Linked DNA regions of Drosophila melanogaster. The protein of the gene in region 1 purifies or fractionates together with the protein of each later gene. This does not show direct contact. Each region holds a gene or a part of one and is shown in the gene's direction. Other genes may lie near its edges. The genes, in order: Cpsf100, Sym and Dcr-2.

Evidence for each region.
Region 2: the proteins of Cpsf100 (region 1) and Sym purify together in Drosophila melanogaster (affinity purification with western blotting; 3 studies listed by BioGRID). This does not show direct contact.
Region 3: the proteins of Cpsf100 (region 1) and Dcr-2 purify together in Drosophila melanogaster (affinity purification with western blotting; one study listed by BioGRID). This does not show direct contact.

What each region holds. Positions count from the first base shown.
Region 1 is NT_033777.3:29,032,676-29,037,586, forward strand, and holds Cpsf100 (cleavage and polyadenylation specificity factor 100), read left to right. Parts: upstream 1-1,897; 5' UTR 1,898-1,987; coding exon 1,988-2,136; intron 2,137-2,195; coding exon 2,196-4,317; 3' UTR 4,318-4,387; downstream 4,388-4,911. Other genes in the region: beta4GalNAcTB (beta1,4-N-acetylgalactosaminyltransferase B), read right to left, coding at 273-1,244; Slu7, read right to left, coding at 4,408-4,911. UniProt on the Drosophila melanogaster protein: Component of the cleavage and polyadenylation specificity factor (CPSF) complex that plays a key role in pre-mRNA 3'-end formation, recognizing the AAUAAA signal sequence and interacting with poly(A) polymerase and other factors to bring about cleavage and poly(A) addition.
Region 2 is NT_033777.3:5,737,569-5,743,988, reverse strand, and holds Sym (symplekin), read left to right. Parts: upstream 1-1,512; 5' UTR 1,513-1,860; coding exon 1,861-1,947; intron 1,948-2,017; coding exon 2,018-2,211; intron 2,212-2,272; coding exon 2,273-4,395; intron 4,396-4,471; coding exon 4,472-5,394; intron 5,395-5,500; coding exon 5,501-5,671; 3' UTR 5,672-5,811; downstream 5,812-6,420. Other genes in the region: Madm (MLF1-adaptor molecule), read right to left, coding at 1-1,004; CG1236 (uncharacterized protein), read right to left, coding at 6,081-6,420. UniProt on the Drosophila melanogaster protein: Component of a protein complex required for cotranscriptional processing of 3'-ends of polyadenylated and histone pre-mRNA. Involved in germline stem cell transit amplification, differentiation and mitosis-to-meiosis transition.
Region 3 is NT_033778.4:17,575,514-17,583,296, reverse strand, and holds the start of Dcr-2 (Dicer-2), read left to right. Parts: upstream 1-1,771; 5' UTR 1,772-1,870; coding exon 1,871-1,891; intron 1,892-1,951; coding exon 1,952-2,082; intron 2,083-2,203; coding exon 2,204-2,381; intron 2,382-2,820; coding exon 2,821-3,128; intron 3,129-3,184; coding exon 3,185-3,881; intron 3,882-3,944; coding exon 3,945-4,502; intron 4,503-4,568; coding exon 4,569-4,743; intron 4,744-4,801; coding exon 4,802-7,783. Other genes in the region: CG6484 (uncharacterized protein), read left to right, coding at 1-55, 472-1,167.

The sequences.
Region 1 (4,911 bases):
ATTTTTATTGGCAGAGGCAGAGCGTGCTTAACATGTCGATATCCGCTTAATCTGAGGCTTCTGCATTGTACTTCAATTACAGCTTTGACTCCTCCATTCCCGTCTAGCTTCTTAGCCTAGTGAGTGAGATATCACGATCGATTCGGAACGCATTGTCTAAGGCGGTAACTAATCGGTTGCGAAGCGAAGTGCAGCCAAGTATAAAACACTTCGAGATACCGACTACGAAAACGATTGGCCTACAAGCTAAATACAATAACAAATACTGGCACTCAGGTATCAACCAGGATGTGCGTGAACAAACTGTGCATTCGCCGCTCCATTTCCGTGTACACCAGTGAGTTGAGTCCATCCGCGTGCTGGCGCAGAGTCGCCGATCTCAGCAGTGCCACGCGATTGGCATTCGGCTGCTCCTGTTTGTGCTTCAGCATGGTGTACTTACTGAACTCCATTGCGAATCGGCAAATGTCGATATTCAGGGCCTGCAGGCGCTCGTAGAGGTCATCGTCCTCTCCGCCCCAGCCGTAATACAGATTGGACATGCCGTTGATCTGCTGGTACTGGGCGGTGTTGATGGCCACCACGCCGCCGAAAAGACCGCGGTAAGGCAGTCGGAATCGCCAGTGATCCAGGGCAGAGCTCATGTGCCGTGGACGTTCGGAGCAGGCATATATTTGACCCGAATTCAGTGGCAGGAGGTCCACGTCATGAAGGATGAGGCAGGGAAATCCATACTCCGCAGCCACCTGGGCGCCAATGTTGAAGAGCATCGCCCTGTTAAACGGCTTATGATCGAACTGTTCGACCAGGAAAATCCGATAGTGGATCAGCTGCTGCGGCAGGTAATTGTGCATGTACGTGAGGAAGGCGTGCAGCTGCTCCTCCCGCTGCCTGTACGGCACAATGATGGCGGTGCTGTAGCGAGCCTGACATCCTTCCGGACGGAACTCGCCGCCAGGACGGATCTCCGCGCCCCTCTGCACCGCGTCATGGTAATGGGCCAGGTGGTAGACGAACCGGTTTTCGGCAATGATCTCCGAGTAGGTGCATTCGAAAACTTCCTGCTGGGAGACATTTCTGGTCACCTGCGGCACCAGAGCCCCCTCGATCTTTGATTCCTCGATGTAGTCGTAGTGCGATGCGAACCGGAAGGGCAGACACAGGTACACGATGAGAGTGATCAGTCCGATGGCGATGAGAAGATCATATTTATGGAAGCTGCGGACCCAGAGCCGCACGAACATTGTTGGCAGGAAAAGTTGACTCAGTGCGATCTTTGGAAACTCCGCATCCTAATTTCGGACGCAATCTTCGCGGCCGGTTGGCGAATAACAGCTGACGACCAGGGACGCAACGCATAAACCAACAGACAGTGAAACTTCACCAGCTCGAATTGTTTTTTTTTTGGTTTATTTTCTCACATAATATTCATTAATTTTTTAAATGGTTTTTACGAACAACTAAAGTCTACTAACCAAAAAGAAAATGTTTATGAAATCAATTTTTAGGATGCCTTTAATACAAAATAGCATAAGAAGTTGTTTTTATAAAAAGTATGCAACCGATTGGGCATCCATGGTTCTTTAAAACGGCATGACTCTACCCCACCCTTATTAATTAAACAATAATTTGATAAAAAGTTGTGTTTACTTATACTAGATTGTTGAGACTTCTATTGATAAGGATGCATAGTTATAAATGTTGACTCATTAAAGAGAAGGTAATTGAACTGAAGAAGGTTGTAGCCATATGTATGTATGGTTAATACATGAGAGACATAATCAAAGTTTTTAATTTATAACATTTAAAATGTCAATCTTTGTTTATTATCGGGTTGTACTGTTCGCTCAACAAGTACGTACTGTATAAACAAAGCAACAGCACTCTGGCAACGCCGTGACAGTTTCCCATCCCTGAACCGGCGAAGAACTCTTGGTTTCCTTTTACAATTTCTTAAACAAATGCACCGGTGGTTTAATTGGCAAAAATGACCTCCATTATCAAGCTGCACACTATATCTGGGGCGATGGACGAGTCCCCGCCATGCTATATCCTACAGATAGACGATGTGCGGATATTACTTGACTGCGGATGGGACGAAAAGTTCGATGCCAACTTTATCAAGGAACTGAAGAGGTGACAATTGTATACATATTTCAGGAAAACAATAACCTAAATATTTTGTGTATTCCCAGGCAGGTGCACACCCTGGACGCCGTGCTGCTATCCCATCCGGATGCATATCATCTTGGAGCCCTGCCATACTTGGTGGGCAAGCTGGGGCTCAATTGCCCCATCTACGCCACCATTCCCGTGTTCAAAATGGGTCAAATGTTTATGTATGACCTTTACATGTCGCACTTCAATATGGGAGACTTCGATCTATTTTCGCTGGACGACGTGGACACGGCTTTCGAAAAGATAACCCAGTTGAAATACAACCAAACAGTTTCACTGAAGGACAAAGGATATGGAATATCCATTACGCCTTTGAACGCTGGACACATGATCGGCGGCACCATCTGGAAGATCGTCAAGGTGGGCGAGGAGGATATTGTGTACGCCACCGACTTCAACCATAAGAAGGAGCGCCACTTAAGTGGCTGCGAGCTGGACAGGCTGCAAAGACCTTCGCTGCTCATTACCGACGCCTACAACGCACAGTACCAGCAGGCCAGAAGGAGGGCCCGCGATGAAAAGCTAATGACCAACATCCTGCAAACGGTGCGTAACAACGGCAATGTCCTGATAGCCGTGGATACGGCAGGACGAGTCCTGGAGTTGGCCCACATGCTGGACCAGCTGTGGAAGAACAAGGAATCTGGGCTAATGGCCTACTCCCTGGCCCTTCTTAACAATGTGAGCTACAACGTGATTGAGTTCGCCAAGTCGCAGATAGAATGGATGAGTGACAAGCTCACGAAGGCTTTCGAAGGTGCCCGCAACAATCCCTTTCAGTTCAAGCACATCCAGCTGTGCCATTCACTGGCGGACGTCTATAAATTGCCCGCTGGTCCAAAAGTGGTGTTGGCCAGTACCCCAGATCTGGAGAGCGGATTCACGAGGGATCTCTTCGTGCAATGGGCCAGCAATGCCAACAATAGCATAATCCTTACTACTCGTACGTCTCCCGGCACTTTAGCCATGGAACTGGTGGAGAACTGCGCACCGGGCAAGCAAATCGAATTGGACGTCAGGCGAAGAGTTGACTTAGAAGGAGCTGAGTTGGAGGAGTACCTACGCACACAGGGCGAGAAACTTAATCCCCTTATCGTAAAGCCCGATGTGGAGGAAGAGAGCAGTTCCGAGTCCGAGGACGACATCGAGATGAGCGTCATCACGGGCAAGCATGATATTGTGGTCAGACCGGAGGGTCGCCATCACTCCGGTTTTTTCAAGTCCAACAAACGACACCACGTGATGTTCCCCTATCACGAGGAAAAGGTGAAGTGCGATGAGTATGGGGAGATCATCAATCTAGACGACTACCGGATTGCGGATGCGACAGGCTATGAGTTTGTACCTATGGAGGAGCAAAACAAGGAGAATGTTAAAAAGGAAGAACCGGGCATAGGAGCAGAACAACAGGCTAACGGAGGAATCGTCGACAATGATGTTCAGTTGCTGGAGAAGCCCACCAAGCTGATAAGCCAACGCAAAACAATCGAGGTGAATGCCCAAGTCCAGAGGATCGATTTCGAAGGTCGCTCTGATGGCGAGTCCATGCTAAAGATCCTCTCCCAGTTGAGGCCACGAAGGGTTATCGTCATACACGGCACTGCCGAAGGCACACAAGTGGTGGCCAGGCACTGCGAACAGAATGTCGGTGCGCGCGTTTTTACTCCGCAGAAGGGGGAAATCATTGATGTCACCAGTGAGATTCACATCTATCAGGTACGCCTGACGGAAGGACTTGTCTCCCAGCTGCAGTTCCAAAAGGGCAAGGACGCGGAGGTGGCGTGGGTGGATGGTCGCCTGGGCATGCGGGTGAAGGCCATCGAAGCACCCATGGACGTAACTGTGGAGCAGGACGCTTCCGTGCAAGAAGGCAAGACATTGACTCTTGAAACACTGGCGGACGATGAGATTCCTATCCACAACTCAGTGCTCATTAACGAGCTGAAACTGTCCGACTTTAAGCAGACTCTCATGCGTAATAACATCAACTCGGAGTTCTCCGGCGGCGTGCTCTGGTGCAGCAACGGAACTCTGGCCTTGAGGCGAGTGGATGCCGGCAAGGTAGCCATGGAGGGATGCTTATCCGAGGAGTACTACAAGATCAGGGAGTTGCTGTACGAGCAGTATGCGATCGTTTAATATTCAAAATGACGTTTGTGTAAGCCCCTAATGTTTTACTTGTTAAGATTAGAAAGTTTTTATATAAGAGAATCAGTTGTACTTTATTGCCTACATAAATTGCAGCATGGGATCTTCTGCCCTTGGCCGCTTCTTCTTCCACTCCTCGATCTCGTCCTCTGTGGGCGCCTTCACATCATACATGCTGTTATAGGCTCGTTTGCGATCGTCCAGTTCCTCGGGAATATCTTTTTCCTTTGTCTTATCTTTGTCCTTGGTCTCCTTGTTCTTGCCTTTTTGTTTTCGCTGCTCCTTAGCCTTCTTTTTCTTCTCGCGCTTCTTCGACTTCTTCTTGGTCTTCTTCTTCTCAGGTTTTACCTCCTCCTCTTCGGATGAGGAGGGTTCCGAACTCGATGCTGAGTCCACTTCGGAAGTGGGCCTTTCAGGTGGCACTTCTGGTACCTTGAATTGGCTTTGAGCTGCAGGTTCTGTAGTAGCCGCTGCAGTGGAGCTCGTAGAATGATGTTCCGAGTAGCCCTCTGGCTCCTGCATGCCCACGCAGTAGGAGTTCTTGATGAAGGACTTGCAGCACTTGTAACCCCAGCGTCCGGCGTT
Region 2 (6,420 bases), about 23 Mb from region 1:
GTCTCCTCGTTGATGGCAGTTGACTCGCTGTTACTGGGCTGGATTTCCAGGGCGGCCATCTCCAGGGCACACATCCCGAAGGCGTAGATGTCGAGGGCGGCGGTCAACTGGTCGGCGGCGCCGTACTCGGGCGCCTGGAAGTAGTGGGCGCCTCGTTCGCGTTCACGCTCCCGCTCTCGGCCGCGCCGGACGCTGTAGTGGACCGCGTCCGGGACCACCGAGCCGATCTTGACCAGGCCGTTGTGCTGGATGAAGATGCTATCACAGGTTAAATTGCCGTGGATGATGGGCGGCGAGCAGGAATGCAAATAGCTGAGTGCGGACAAAATCTGAGTGCACCACCGGCGCCACGACTCCAGCGGTAGCCGCTTGGCGTTGCGCTTGGTGCGCTTGAGGAACTGTTTCAGCGATCCGCTCGACATGTACTCGGTGATAAAGACCACCCTGGGTCGCTCGGCCTGCTGCGTGTCCGTCCAGTAGCGGTGGAACTTGACAATGTTTTGGTGGTCCAGCTGCAGCAGATTGTCGAACACCTGCCGCATCTTCTCCTCCTGCGACTTCAGCTCCTGTAGGCTGGCATATTGCACCTCATTCCACACGACCTCTACGCCCTCCTCGGTGTCCATGGCCAGATGGACGCAGTCAATACCGGGTACGTCACGCTGATCCACCTCCTCGCGTCGCTTCAGCCAGCGTCCACATGGCGACTCCTCCAAAATCTCGCTCTCATCCTCCGAATCGTCCCCGGACTCGCGTGGCGACGAGTCCAGATTGACGCCCTCGCTGCCAGCTACGACGCCGACGCCGACCGCAGCGCTGCTGCCCGCATCAGCTGTTGAGGCACTAACTATGTGCGGCGGGGGCTGCTGCGTCGACTGCGACGGCGGGGTCGCTGCTGGGCAGGATGCACTTACGGGGCCGGCCGCCAAGGAAGGGTGGTGCTGGATGGGTTCATCCGCTACCGTGCTACCGCTGATGCCGGCATTCGCTTGGCTATTTGACATTAGGGTGCGGTCACCGACGCGGCTGCGGCTGTTGAGCAGTGCTGTTCCAGTTCCAGAAGGCCTCGTCGTCTTCGGTTTCCAGTGTTTATTTTCTTTGTTGGACTGCCTACGTTTGCGCTAGCTTTTCGTGGTATCCACTACGGGGTCCGGGCAACGAGCTACATCCGCCGCTGCTCCTCTGCCGCTGCCTCTGCCCCACTCACTGGCGCACACATACACACGCACGCGCCCACACAGCTCATCCACTGCACCCCTCGCCCAGTAAACACTCCGCTGCGACGGCTGGCGGTTGCTGGGACGTTTTTCGGCACCTTCGACGGCGTCTTCTGTTCCAATCCTCGACTGCGTCGCGAACTGCGATCCGTTTGTTGCACTTTCTGGCCTGACACGCTGCCGATTCGTTTATTTAGGCGTTTTTTTCACGCTAAAACACCCAAGAAATGTGAGCAAATCGATGCCTCTGGCTTATCGATAGTCACCCCCGCATATCGCTCGGCCAGCGCAACTGCGGCATGCTCATCGATAATAACGCGTTAAGCTGAGATATGCCAAAAATGGCTTAATTTATGTGATTTATTAATTTTTTATACGGTAACGAGCAAGGAAAATTAGTTTGCAGGCGGTTCATTTGATTATAAGCCAAGTTTTTAGTAAAATATTCTTTTTCTTTTGAACACATTAAGAGCTGGCAAAAAATAGCTAGATGGTCCGGAAATATGCAGAATTACCAACATCATAGAACCGTTTTCGATAGTTTCTCAATGGTACCGATAACACCTTGCCATCCGTGCCGGCAGCTCTTAAAAATATCCGAAGTATCGCAGATTTAGGCAAAATCTGCATCAATTAACCAAACATGGATAGCATAATTGGACGCAGCCAGTTTGTCTCGGAGACGGCCAATCTGTTCACAGACGAGAAGACAGCTACGGCAAGAGCTAAGGTAGAACACAAATCTTAATCAGACAAGACAGTCCGGACTGCTGTATTGTACCATATATTTTCCCATTCAGGTGGTCGATTGGTGCAATGAGCTGGTCATCGCATCGCCTTCGACAAAGTGCGAACTGCTGGCTAAGGTGCAGGAGACTGTGCTTGGATCGTGCGCGGAGCTGGCCGAAGAATTCCTGGAGTCCGTGCTGTCTTTGGCCCACGACTCAAACATGGAGGTTCGCAAGCAGGTAGTCGCCTTCGTAGAGCAAGTTTGGTAAGGATTTCCATCAAAGGATCTAACTTCTTGCTGAAACGATTTATATTTTCCATCCCAGTAAAGTGAAGGTGGAGTTACTGCCCCATGTCATTAACGTCGTGTCTATGCTGCTTAGGGATAACTCGGCTCAGGTAATCAAAAGAGTGATCCAAGCCTGCGGTAGCATCTACAAGAATGGATTGCAGTACTTGTGCAGCCTCATGGAGCCCGGCGACAGTGCGGAGCAGGCGTGGAACATCCTCAGCTTAATCAAGGCGCAAATACTGGACATGATCGACAATGAAAACGACGGCATACGTACAAATGCCATTAAGTTCTTGGAGGGCGTCGTGGTTCTGCAGAGCTTTGCTGACGAGGACAGTCTGAAACGAGATGGAGACTTCTCGCTGGCAGATGTCCCCGATCACTGCACACTATTCCGCCGTGAAAAGTTGCAAGAGGAGGGCAACAATATTTTAGATATCTTGCTTCAGTTCCACGGAACAACGCATATTTCCTCAGTGAACTTGATTGCCTGCACAAGCAGCTTGTGTACAATTGCCAAAATGCGACCCATTTTCATGGGCGCCGTGGTGGAAGCCTTTAAGCAGCTGAATGCCAACCTGCCGCCCACCCTCACTGACTCGCAAGTAAGCTCCGTGCGTAAGAGCCTTAAGATGCAGTTGCAGACATTGCTGAAGAACCGCGGTGCCTTTGAGTTTGCAAGCACTATCCGAGGAATGTTAGTTGATCTGGGGTCCTCCACAAATGAGATCCAGAAGCTTATTCCCAAAATGGACAAACAGGAAATGGCTCGTAGACAAAAACGCATCCTCGAAAATGCTGCGCAAAGTCTTGCAAAGCGTGCGCGCTTGGCCTGTGAGCAGCAGGATCAGCAGCAGCGAGAAATGGAGCTAGACACTGAGGAATTGGAACGACAGAAACAGAAGTCTACTCGAGTTAACGAAAAGTTTCTGGCAGAGCATTTCCGTAATCCTGAAACTGTTGTGACCCTGGTGCTGGAGTTCCTGCCCAGTCTGCCCACTGAGGTGCCACAAAAGTTCCTTCAGGAATATACACCCATTCGCGAAATGTCTATTCAGCAGCAGGTAACCAATATCTCCAGATTTTTTGGCGAACAACTATCTGAAAAGCGCCTAGGCCCAGGTGCCGCAACCTTCAGTCGAGAGCCGCCAATGCGGGTTAAGAAAGTGCAAGCGATTGAATCAACACTAACTGCAATGGAAGTGGACGAGGATGCTGTTCAAAAACTGAGTGAGGAAGAGTTTCAGCGTAAGGAGGAAGCAACCAAGAAGCTGCGCGAGACCATGGAGCGCGCCAAGGGTGAGCAGACTGTTATTGAAAAGATGAAGGAGCGCGCCAAGACGCTGAAGCTGCAGGAGATCACCAAGCCTCTGCCACGCAACTTAAAAGAGAAGTTCCTAACTGATGCAGTGCGTCGCATCCTCAACTCGGAGCGGCAATGCATTAAGGGAGGAGTGTCATCAAAGCGCCGTAAGCTGGTCACCGTGATTGCTGCCACCTTTCCCGATAACGTACGTTACGGCATCATGGAGTTCATCCTGGAGGATATAAAACAGCGTATCGATTTGGCATTTTCCTGGCTCTTTGAGGAGTACTCTCTGCTGCAAGGATTTACAAGGCACACTTATGTTAAGACAGAGAACAGACCCGATCACGCCTACAACGAGTTGCTGAATAAGCTTATCTTCGGCATTGGAGAGCGTTGCGATCACAAGGATAAGATTATTTTGATTCGTCGAGTATATCTAGAAGCACCCATTCTTCCGGAAGTCTCAATTGGACATCTAGTTCAATTAAGCCTGGACGACGAGTTCTCCCAGCACGGCCTGGAGCTAATCAAGGACCTTGCAGTGCTTAGGCCGCCGCGAAAGAATCGTTTCGTTAGAGTGTTGCTCAACTTTTCTGTGCATGAGCGACTGGATCTGCGGGATCTGGCACAGGCCCACCTGGTCAGTCTGTACCATGTACACAAAATACTACCGGCTCGAATAGACGAATTCGCTCTGGAGTGGCTTAAATTTATCGAACAGGAATCTCCGCCGGCAGCTGTTTTCTCGCAGGACTTTGGTCGACCAACCGAGGAGCCTGATTGGCGGGAAGACACTACCAAGGTGTGCTTTGGTTTGGCCTTTACCCTGCTGCCCTATAAACCGGAAGGTAAGTTGTTGCTGTCCCGTATTAAAGAAGAAAAAAACTATTAAATCAATTTCTTAATATTCTCTTCCCCTGATAGTTTACTTACAGCAAATTTGTCAAGTGTTTGTTTCTACATCTGCCGAACTGAAACGCACGATCTTGCGCAGTCTAGATATTCCCATAAAAAAGATGGGTGTAGAAAGCCCGACGTTGCTGCAACTAATCGAGGATTGTCCTAAGGGTATGGAGACCTTAGTGATCCGTATAATTTACATACTGACAGAGCGAGTGCCATCCCCCCATGAAGAATTGGTTCGGCGGGTTCGGGATCTCTACCAGAACAAGGTCAAGGATGTGCGCGTGATGATACCCGTGCTAAGTGGCTTAACCCGATCCGAGCTAATTTCCGTTCTGCCGAAGCTGATTAAACTTAATCCCGCTGTGGTCAAGGAGGTTTTCAATCGATTGCTTGGTATCGGTGCCGAATTCGCGCATCAGACGATGGCCATGACCCCCACTGATATTCTCGTGGCTTTGCACACCATCGATACGAGTGTCTGCGATATTAAAGCCATCGTTAAGGCTACATCCCTATGTTTGGCTGAAAGAGATCTGTACACACAGGAGGTACTTATGGCTGTGCTGCAACAGCTTGTAGAGGTTACTCCGCTGCCTACTCTGATGATGCGCACAACAATTCAGAGTCTAACTCTGTACCCGCGTCTGGCAAACTTTGTAATGAACTTGTTGCAGCGTCTGATAATCAAGCAGGTCTGGCGGCAAAAAGTAATCTGGGAGGGCTTTTTAAAGACCGTGCAGCGCCTGAAACCGCAGTCAATGCCGATCCTGCTGCACCTTCCTCCCGCCCAGCTGGTGGACGCACTGCAGCAGTGCCCCGATTTAAGGCCAGCATTGTCGGAATACGCGGAGAGCATGCAGGATGAACCAATGAATGGTAGTGGTATAACCCAGCAGGTTCTGGACATCATCTCCGGGAAATCAGTTGATGTGTTCGTGACGGTAACTATGCATTTTTTGATTTAGTCTTAAATGAAATAATAGTAACTCAAATACCGAACCAATATCGAAGACGTTCAGCTACTACATACGAGTATCTTCTTTTCAGGACGAAAGCGGCGGTTACATCAGTGCCGAGCATATTAAAAAAGAGGCACCGGATCCATCAGAAATTAGTGTCATTTCCACAGTGCCCGTACTGACGTCTCTAGTACCACTACCAGTTCCTCCCCCCATAGGCAGTGATCTTAACCAGCCCCTGCCGCCTGGCGAGGACTAGTTGCAGTTTAATTGTTTTGTTTGCTCATACACATTTTTAAATTACTTAATAAGATAAGGTCTATAATTTTATAAACTCACTGTTCTAGGCGATAATACATAAAACCAAGGTCTTGACCGCACCCACATACATTATAAAGGAATATAATTTTGTTTGTTAATGATCAAAAGATTGGGAGTATACCCCACGCAAATAACACAAAAATTTCGATTCTGAGTGGCCACGACCATTTACGGATCAGTTCATTGCGAGCACTGTCATCGGCGTAATACAAGTGTTTCAATAATTTCAGTACCTTTAAAATACCTTTGAAAGTACGAAATATTTAATTAGAACATTGTACATAATTACAAACAGATGTTTTTAAAAAGATGTGGAAAAAATTCATTGTACGCTGAGATTACACGGCTTACAGCTCTACTTCGGCTACCATTTTATCGCCAGCTAAGGCAGCAAGAATATTTCTGGCTGTAATCCGGGACATTTCCTTGCGCGTTTCGATGTCAGCGCTGCCAATGTGGGGGAGAATAACCACATTATCCAGTTTCAGAAGAGGATCGTCGATTGGCAATGGCTCCGGCGTCGTTACATCCAGACCAGCTGCTAGAATTCGTTTGGTTTTCAGTGCCTCGTACAGGGCCTTCTGGTCTACAACGCCACCACGCGCCGTGTTGATAAGAATGCAGTTGGGCTTCATCTTCTGAAAGGCAGTGGCATTGAAGATTTCCTTAGTCTCCGGGGTTAGGGCG
Region 3 (7,783 bases), on another chromosome or scaffold:
TGACGAGCTCAAGGAGATCCTGGAGGAGTCCCAGAAGCAGATTGATATGCCACAGGTTAGTTAACATTCCACTAATAATCAATCAATCAATCAAAATCGATCGATATTGAAGGCATAAAGAAACTTTATAAAGGGTTCGCAGGGCTTTAACAGATTTATTACTCTTTCCATTATCACACAATCGGAAGTGATACATACATATACTTACCCTGATAAAAGAAATGTTGTAAATTCAGATAGTATATAATATTTTGTTTTCATTCATTAAGATTTTCAATAACTTGAACCAAGATAGGGTTTGCATTAAACTTAAACGATTTCGTAGTTAAACTACATATGAACACAGGTACGTAATTTGTTTCCATTATTCCATTTAGTAATCAGTGTAGCAGATACTACTTATCATACCTAATAAATACATTGATTTTGGTGAAGATTAGAAAATAATACGTGGTCTTATTTTTATTGCAGGTCAACATTCTGTCCTCCCTTCGTCGACCCATCGTCCTGAAGGGTCTTGGAATCGCTGTGCTCCTGCAGGTCTTCCAGCAGTGGACGGGAATCAACGCCGTTCTCTTCTACTCCGCCTCCATTTTCGAGGATACGGGCTCTGACATAAGTGGCAGCGATGCCACGCTTATCATTGGAGTCACCCAAGTGACCAGCACGCTGGTTGCCGTGGCCATTATCGACAAGGCTGGCCGTCGCATCCTGCTCCTTATCTCTGGCGTTCTGATGGCCGTGTCCACTGCACTGATGGGCGTGTACTTTCAGCTAAAGGAGAACGATCCGGCTTCAATGGACAATTTCGGTTGGTTGCCGATCAGCAGTATCTGCATTTTCATAATCTTCTTCTCGATTGGATTCGGACCGGTGCCGTGGCTGGTGATGGCGGAACTCTTCTCGGAGGATGTGAAGAGTGTGGCAGGATCGATTGCCGGCACCAGCAACTGGCTGTCGGCCTTCGTGGTCACGCTGCTCTTCCCAATCCTCAAGAGCTCGATCGGGCCGGGTCCGACCTTTTGGATCTTTACCGCGATCGCGGTCATCGCCTTCTTCTACTCTCTGTTCTTCGTGCCGGAGACCAAGGGCAAGACAATAATCGAAATCCAGGACCTGCTGTCCGGAGGAAAGGGTGTCAAAAGTGATGACAAGAGCCAGACGTGATGATGTCGCGTAGTCTTAGTCGTAGCGATACTTTTTCATATTCTCCTTAAGCCAATAAGAAAATGTTATGTATAAGAAGTGAAGAGCATAATCAATAAAGTAGAATCACCATGTATATAAACTACCCGATTGAATTTTCGTTCATTTCCGTCAGTGTAGTTCTAATTAGACTCAATTAGTATAATTCTAATTAGTTTGACAAGATTTTAAGTCTTGGAAAAAAATGAGGAAATAAGAAACTTTACTCGTATGGAGGAGGGCTGCAAACGAAGGTCTAAATGATCTAAGGATAGTATGGGTCAAAAAGTGATGTGATATATTCTTAACAATTGGTATTGATTAAGAATTCAAATAATAAATAATTCACGAACTTACACTACCGAAAATGCTTATTATTTTGTTGCAGATTTCGATAAAAATGGAAACGTTTATTATTTCCGGAAGGTATATTATTGGCAGCGAGCATTTCAAAACAAATTTATTTATGTTGCGGTTTGTGGTAATAATTTAAGTTCAAAGAACCGCACTGCGTAGTGTGACCAGTCCGTTTTGAAACACAATTCTTAATACGTTTGACACAAGGCATCTTATAAGAGCCGCTGGCCACTCTGTCACCGGCTTCTTTGTTCTTTAATCGTAAATTATTTGACTTCAAATTGTAATATCAAAATATCCCGAAGACTCTGTAACCAAGAGCGAAGATATGGAAGATGTGGAAATCAAGGTAAAATGAATTGGCTTGCGCTCTCGCTTATTGCAAAATAATTAACAAAATCCTTTCCAGCCTCGCGGCTATCAACTTCGCCTGGTTGACCACCTAACGAAGAGCAATGGCATTGTCTACCTGCCCACAGGATCTGGGAAAACGTTCGTGGCCATCCTGGTCCTAAAGCGCTTCTCGCAGGACTTTGACAAGTTAGTAGCGAATGGATATACATATATATATTATTATATGTATTACCTATATCCGATACTTACATTTATATATATATTATTATATGTAATACCTATATCGGATTCCGATTTGTTTACACAGACCCATCGAAAGCGGCGGAAAGCGTGCGTTGTTCATGTGCAATACTGTGGAATTGGCCCGACAACAGGCGATGGCCGTCAGGCGGTGCACCAACTTTAAGGTTGGCTTTTATGTGGGTGAACAGGGAGTGGATGACTGGACGCGCGGAATGTGGAGTGATGAAATCAAAAAAAACCAAGTGAGTATAGGATGGCGGAGGCATTTTTTATATACGCATATGATCACGTACGGACTAAACACTACACTACCACTACACACTGCAATTGCGATCACCACTTGAGTCGAAAAATTTGGGATCAGCATTTTTATGGGCTCGTAAGGGGTCGTGTTTTGCTAAGCCATCACAAAATCATCATTTCGTCAATTGATGTATTTTATTTGTTTTTTTTTTTTTTTGTAGTATGTTTATTTGTTTATTTATTTATTTTATTTGTTTATTTAAAATTAACTTGAGTTTGTGGATTGTTCTGGATCATCGAGTAGTAGATTTGATGGTCATTTTTATTACATTGAATTCATGTTAGACTTTTCAGTGTAATTCGAGGAATATTTATAGTTAATAATAATACACTGCTTCCAGAATTAAACCTACATGTGTAATTTTTGGTTCTTAACAGGTTCTTGTTGGCACAGCCCAGGTCTTTTTGGACATGGTCACCCAGACGTACGTGGCTTTAAGCTCCCTGAGCGTTGTCATCATAGACGAGTGCCACCACGGCACTGGTCACCACCCATTTCGTGAGTTCATGCGATTGTTCACTATCGCTAATCAAACAAAATTGCCGCGCGTGGTGGGTCTCACCGGGGTGTTAATCAAGGGAAATGAAATTACGAACGTGGCCACGAAACTTAAAGAGCTAGAGATCACATATCGGGGAAACATCATTACCGTGTCCGACACCAAGGAGATGGAAAACGTGATGCTGTAAGAGCGGGTGGCATTTTAGCTACAGTTTCCCAACAAGTGCATATTCTTTTCAGGTACGCCACCAAGCCCACAGAGGTCATGGTGTCCTTTCCACATCAAGAGCAAGTGCTCACGGTTACAAGGTTAATAAGCGCAGAAATTGAAAAGTTCTATGTATCCTTAGACCTCATGAATATTGGCGTTCAACCGATCCGAAGGTCAAAGTCATTGCAATGCCTGCGGGATCCGTCGAAGAAGAGCTTTGTAAAGCAACTGTTCAACGATTTTCTGTACCAGATGAAAGAGTATGGCATCTACGCAGCTTCCATAGCCATAATCTCGTTAATTGTTGAGTTCGATATAAAGAGGCGCCAGGCCGAGACGCTAAGCGTGAAATTGATGCATAGGACGGCCTTGACCTTGTGCGAGAAAATCCGTCACTTGCTGGTGCAAAAACTGCAAGACATGACTTATGACGACGACGATGACAACGTAAACACTGAGGAAGTCATTATGAACTTCTCCACCCCGAAAGTGCAGCGATTCCTGATGAGTCTTAAGGTATCCTTCGCTGATAAAGATCCCAAAGATATCTGCTGTCTGGTCTTTGTTGAACGCCGCTACACCTGCAAGTGCATCTATGGCTTGCTGCTCAACTACATCCAGTCTACGCCTGAGCTGCGAAACGTGCTCACGCCCCAATTCATGGTGGGCCGCAACAATATTTCTCCAGACTTTGAGAGCGTCTTGGAGAGAAAATGGCAAAAATCTGTAGGTGTGGAAATTATCGTTAATTGCTGATATTTTTCAAAATATGCTCTTACCGTCTCGCAGGCCATTCAGCAGTTTCGGGACGGTAATGCCAATCTTATGATATGTTCAAGCGTCCTAGAAGAAGGCATCGATGTGCAGGCCTGCAATCATGTCTTTATTCTTGATCCTGTTAAAACCTTTAACATGTACGTGCAGTCAAAGGGTCGGGCTCGTACCACTGAGGCCAAATTCGTGCTGTTCACAGCTGATAAGGAAAGGGAAAAGACAATTCAGCAAATTTATCAGTATCGAAAAGCGCATAATGACATTGCCGAATATTTAAAGGATCGAGTTCTAGAAAAAACTGAGCCAGAATTGTACGAAATCAAAGGGCACTTCCAGGACGATATTGACCCTTTTACCAATGAGAACGGTGCCGTGTTGCTTCCCAACAATGCCCTGGCCATACTGCATCGCTATTGCCAGACAATTCCCACGGATGCTTTTGGCTTTGTGATCCCCTGGTTCCATGTATTGCAAGAAGACGAACGTGATAGAATATTTGGTGTTTCTGCCAAGGGCAAGCACGTAATTTCAATCAACATGCCAGTAAATTGCATGCTAAGAGACACAATTTACGTAAGCTAGAGATTCAGATTGAAAATGGCAAAATCAAATAGAGTTAATTGCTTTCATTTCTTTCAGAGCGATCCCATGGACAATGTTAAAACAGCCAAAATATCAGCTGCCTTCAAAGCGTGTAAAGTACTCTACAGTTTGGGAGAGTTAAACGAGAGATTCGTGCCCAAAACATTAAAGGAGCGCGTAGCCTCTATTGCTGATGTTCATTTTGAGCACTGGAATAAGTATGGCGATAGTGGTGGGTTCACAAGAACTCGCATAAGATATGTTTACTTATATTAATCTTTCAACCATAGTGACTGCGACAGTCAACAAGGCCGATAAGAGCAAGGACAGAACCTACAAGACCGAATGTCCATTAGAGTTTTACGACGCACTTCCGCGGGTAGGTGAAATCTGTTATGCCTACGAAATATTTTTGGAGCCGCAGTTTGAATCGTGTGAGTACACGGAACACATGTATTTAAATCTCCAAACACCAAGAAATTATGCTATATTGCTGCGGAACAAGCTGCCACGCCTTGCAGAGATGCCCCTGTTTAGCAATCAGGGTAAGCTACACGTTCGAGTGGCCAATGCACCACTTGAAGTAATTATCCAGAACTCCGAACAGCTGGAGCTGCTCCATCAGTTTCACGGAATGGTATTCCGCGATATCTTGAAGATTTGGCATCCGTTCTTTGTGCTGGATCGTCGCAGCAAGGAGAACTCCTACCTGGTAGTTCCTCTCATACTGGGTGCGGGTGAACAGAAATGCTTTGACTGGGAACTGATGACCAACTTCCGAAGACTACCGCAAAGTCATGGGTCAAATGTACAGCAACGCGAGCAACAACCTGCTCCACGTCCTGAAGATTTTGAGGGCAAAATTGTTACACAATGGTATGCCAACTATGATAAGCCCATGCTGGTCACAAAGGTGCACCGTGAGCTAACACCGTTAAGTTATATGGAAAAGAACCAACAGGACAAGACCTACTACGAGTTTACCATGTCAAAGTACGGCAACCGCATTGGTGATGTTGTTCACAAGGATAAGTTTATGATCGAGGTCAGAGACCTTACGGAACAGCTCACTTTCTACGTTCATAATCGTGGAAAGTTCAACGCGAAGAGCAAGGCTAAGATGAAAGTTATTTTGATTCCGGAGCTATGCTTCAATTTTAACTTTCCTGGGGATTTATGGCTTAAGTTGATCTTCCTACCCAGCATTTTAAACCGCATGTACTTCCTTCTCCACGCAGAGGCCTTACGTAAGCGATTTAATACGTATTTAAACCTCCATCTGCTGCCTTTTAATGGAACTGATTACATGCCCAGACCACTAGAAATTGATTATTCGCTAAAGCGGAATGTCGACCCCTTGGGCAATGTCATACCAACTGAGGATATCGAGGAGCCGAAATCCCTTTTAGAGCCAATGCCCACAAAGTCCATTGAGGCGTCCGTGGCCAATCTTGAAATAACAGAATTCGAAAATCCCTGGCAAAAGTATATGGAGCCGGTTGATCTGTCGCGAAATCTTTTGAGTACGTATCCCGTAGAGCTGGACTACTACTATCATTTTAGCGTTGGTAATGTATGTGAGATGAATGAGATGGATTTTGAAGATAAGGAATACTGGGCAAAAAATCAGTTCCATATGCCCACGGGTAATATCTATGGCAACAGAACTCCGGCCAAGACTAACGCAAACGTGCCAGCTTTGATGCCGTCGAAACCGACTGTCCGCGGGAAGGTAAAACCACTGCTCATTTTGCAAAAAACTGTTTCCAAAGAACATATAACGCCAGCGGAGCAGGGCGAGTTTTTGGCTGCAATCACTGCCTCGAGCGCAGCGGATGTTTTCGACATGGAACGCCTTGAGATTCTGGGCGATTCCTTCTTAAAACTTAGTGCCACGCTCTACTTGGCCAGCAAGTATTCGGATTGGAATGAGGGCACTCTTACAGAGGTCAAATCCAAGCTTGTGTCTAATCGTAACCTGTTGTTCTGCCTCATCGACGCGGACATTCCCAAAACGCTCAACACCATTCAGTTTACGCCTAGATACACATGGCTTCCACCTGGCATCAGTTTGCCCCACAATGTTCTAGCCTTGTGGCGAGAAAATCCGGAATTCGCAAAGATTATTGGCCCACACAATCTCCGTGACTTGGCTCTCGGCGATGAGGAGTCCCTGGTGAAGGGCAACTGCAGCGATATCAACTACAACCGCTTCGTGGAGGGATGTCGAGCAAATGGGCAGTCCTTTTATGCCGGTGCCGATTTTTCATCCGAGGTGAACTTCTGCGTGGGACTGGTCACGATTCCCAACAAGGTGATAGCCGATACCCTTGAGGCGCTATTGGGCGTAATCGTTAAGAACTACGGATTGCAGCATGCCTTCAAGATGCTAGAGTACTTCAAGATTTGCCGTGCGGATATTGACAAGCCGCTTACTCAGTTACTGAACCTCGAACTGGGCGGCAAGAAAATGCGGGCGAACGTGAATACTACAGAAATTGACGGCTTTCTCATAAATCACTATTATTTGGAAAAAAATCTTGGCTACACGTTTAAGGATCGACGATATTTGTTGCAGGCCCTCACCCATCCCTCGTATCCCACTAATCGCATCACTGGGTCCTATCAGGAGCTGGAATTTATTGGCGATGCCATACTCGACTTTCTAATCTCTGCCTATATTTTCGAGAACAATACGAAAATGAATCCGGGCGCCCTCACAGATCTGCGTTCCGCTTTGGTCAACAATACTACGCTGGCCTGCATTTGCGTGCGGCATCGGTTGCACTTTTTTATCCTAGCGGAGAACGCAAAGCTCTCCGAGATCATATCCAAATTCGTGAATTTCCAGGAGAGCCAGGGTCACCGGGTTACCAACTATGTGCGCATTCTGCTCGAGGAAGCTGATGTTCAGCCGACTCCGCTGGACTTGGATGACGAATTGGATATGACTGAGTTACCGCATGCAAATAAATGCATTTCTCAGGAAGCAGAGAAAGGAGTCCCACCAAAAGGTGAGTTCAACATGTCCACAAACGTGGATGTGCCAAAGGCGTTGGGGGATGTTCTGGAGGCCCTTATTGCAGCCGTATACCTGGACTGCCGAGATCTCCAACGTACTTGGGAGGTAATTTTCAATCTCTTCGAGCCGGAGCTTCAGGAGTTCACGCGCAAAGTGCCCATCAATCATATACGACAGCTCGTTGAGCACAAGCATGCGAAGCCCGTGTTTAGCTCGCCCATCGTCGAAGGGGAAACTGTAATGGTTAGTT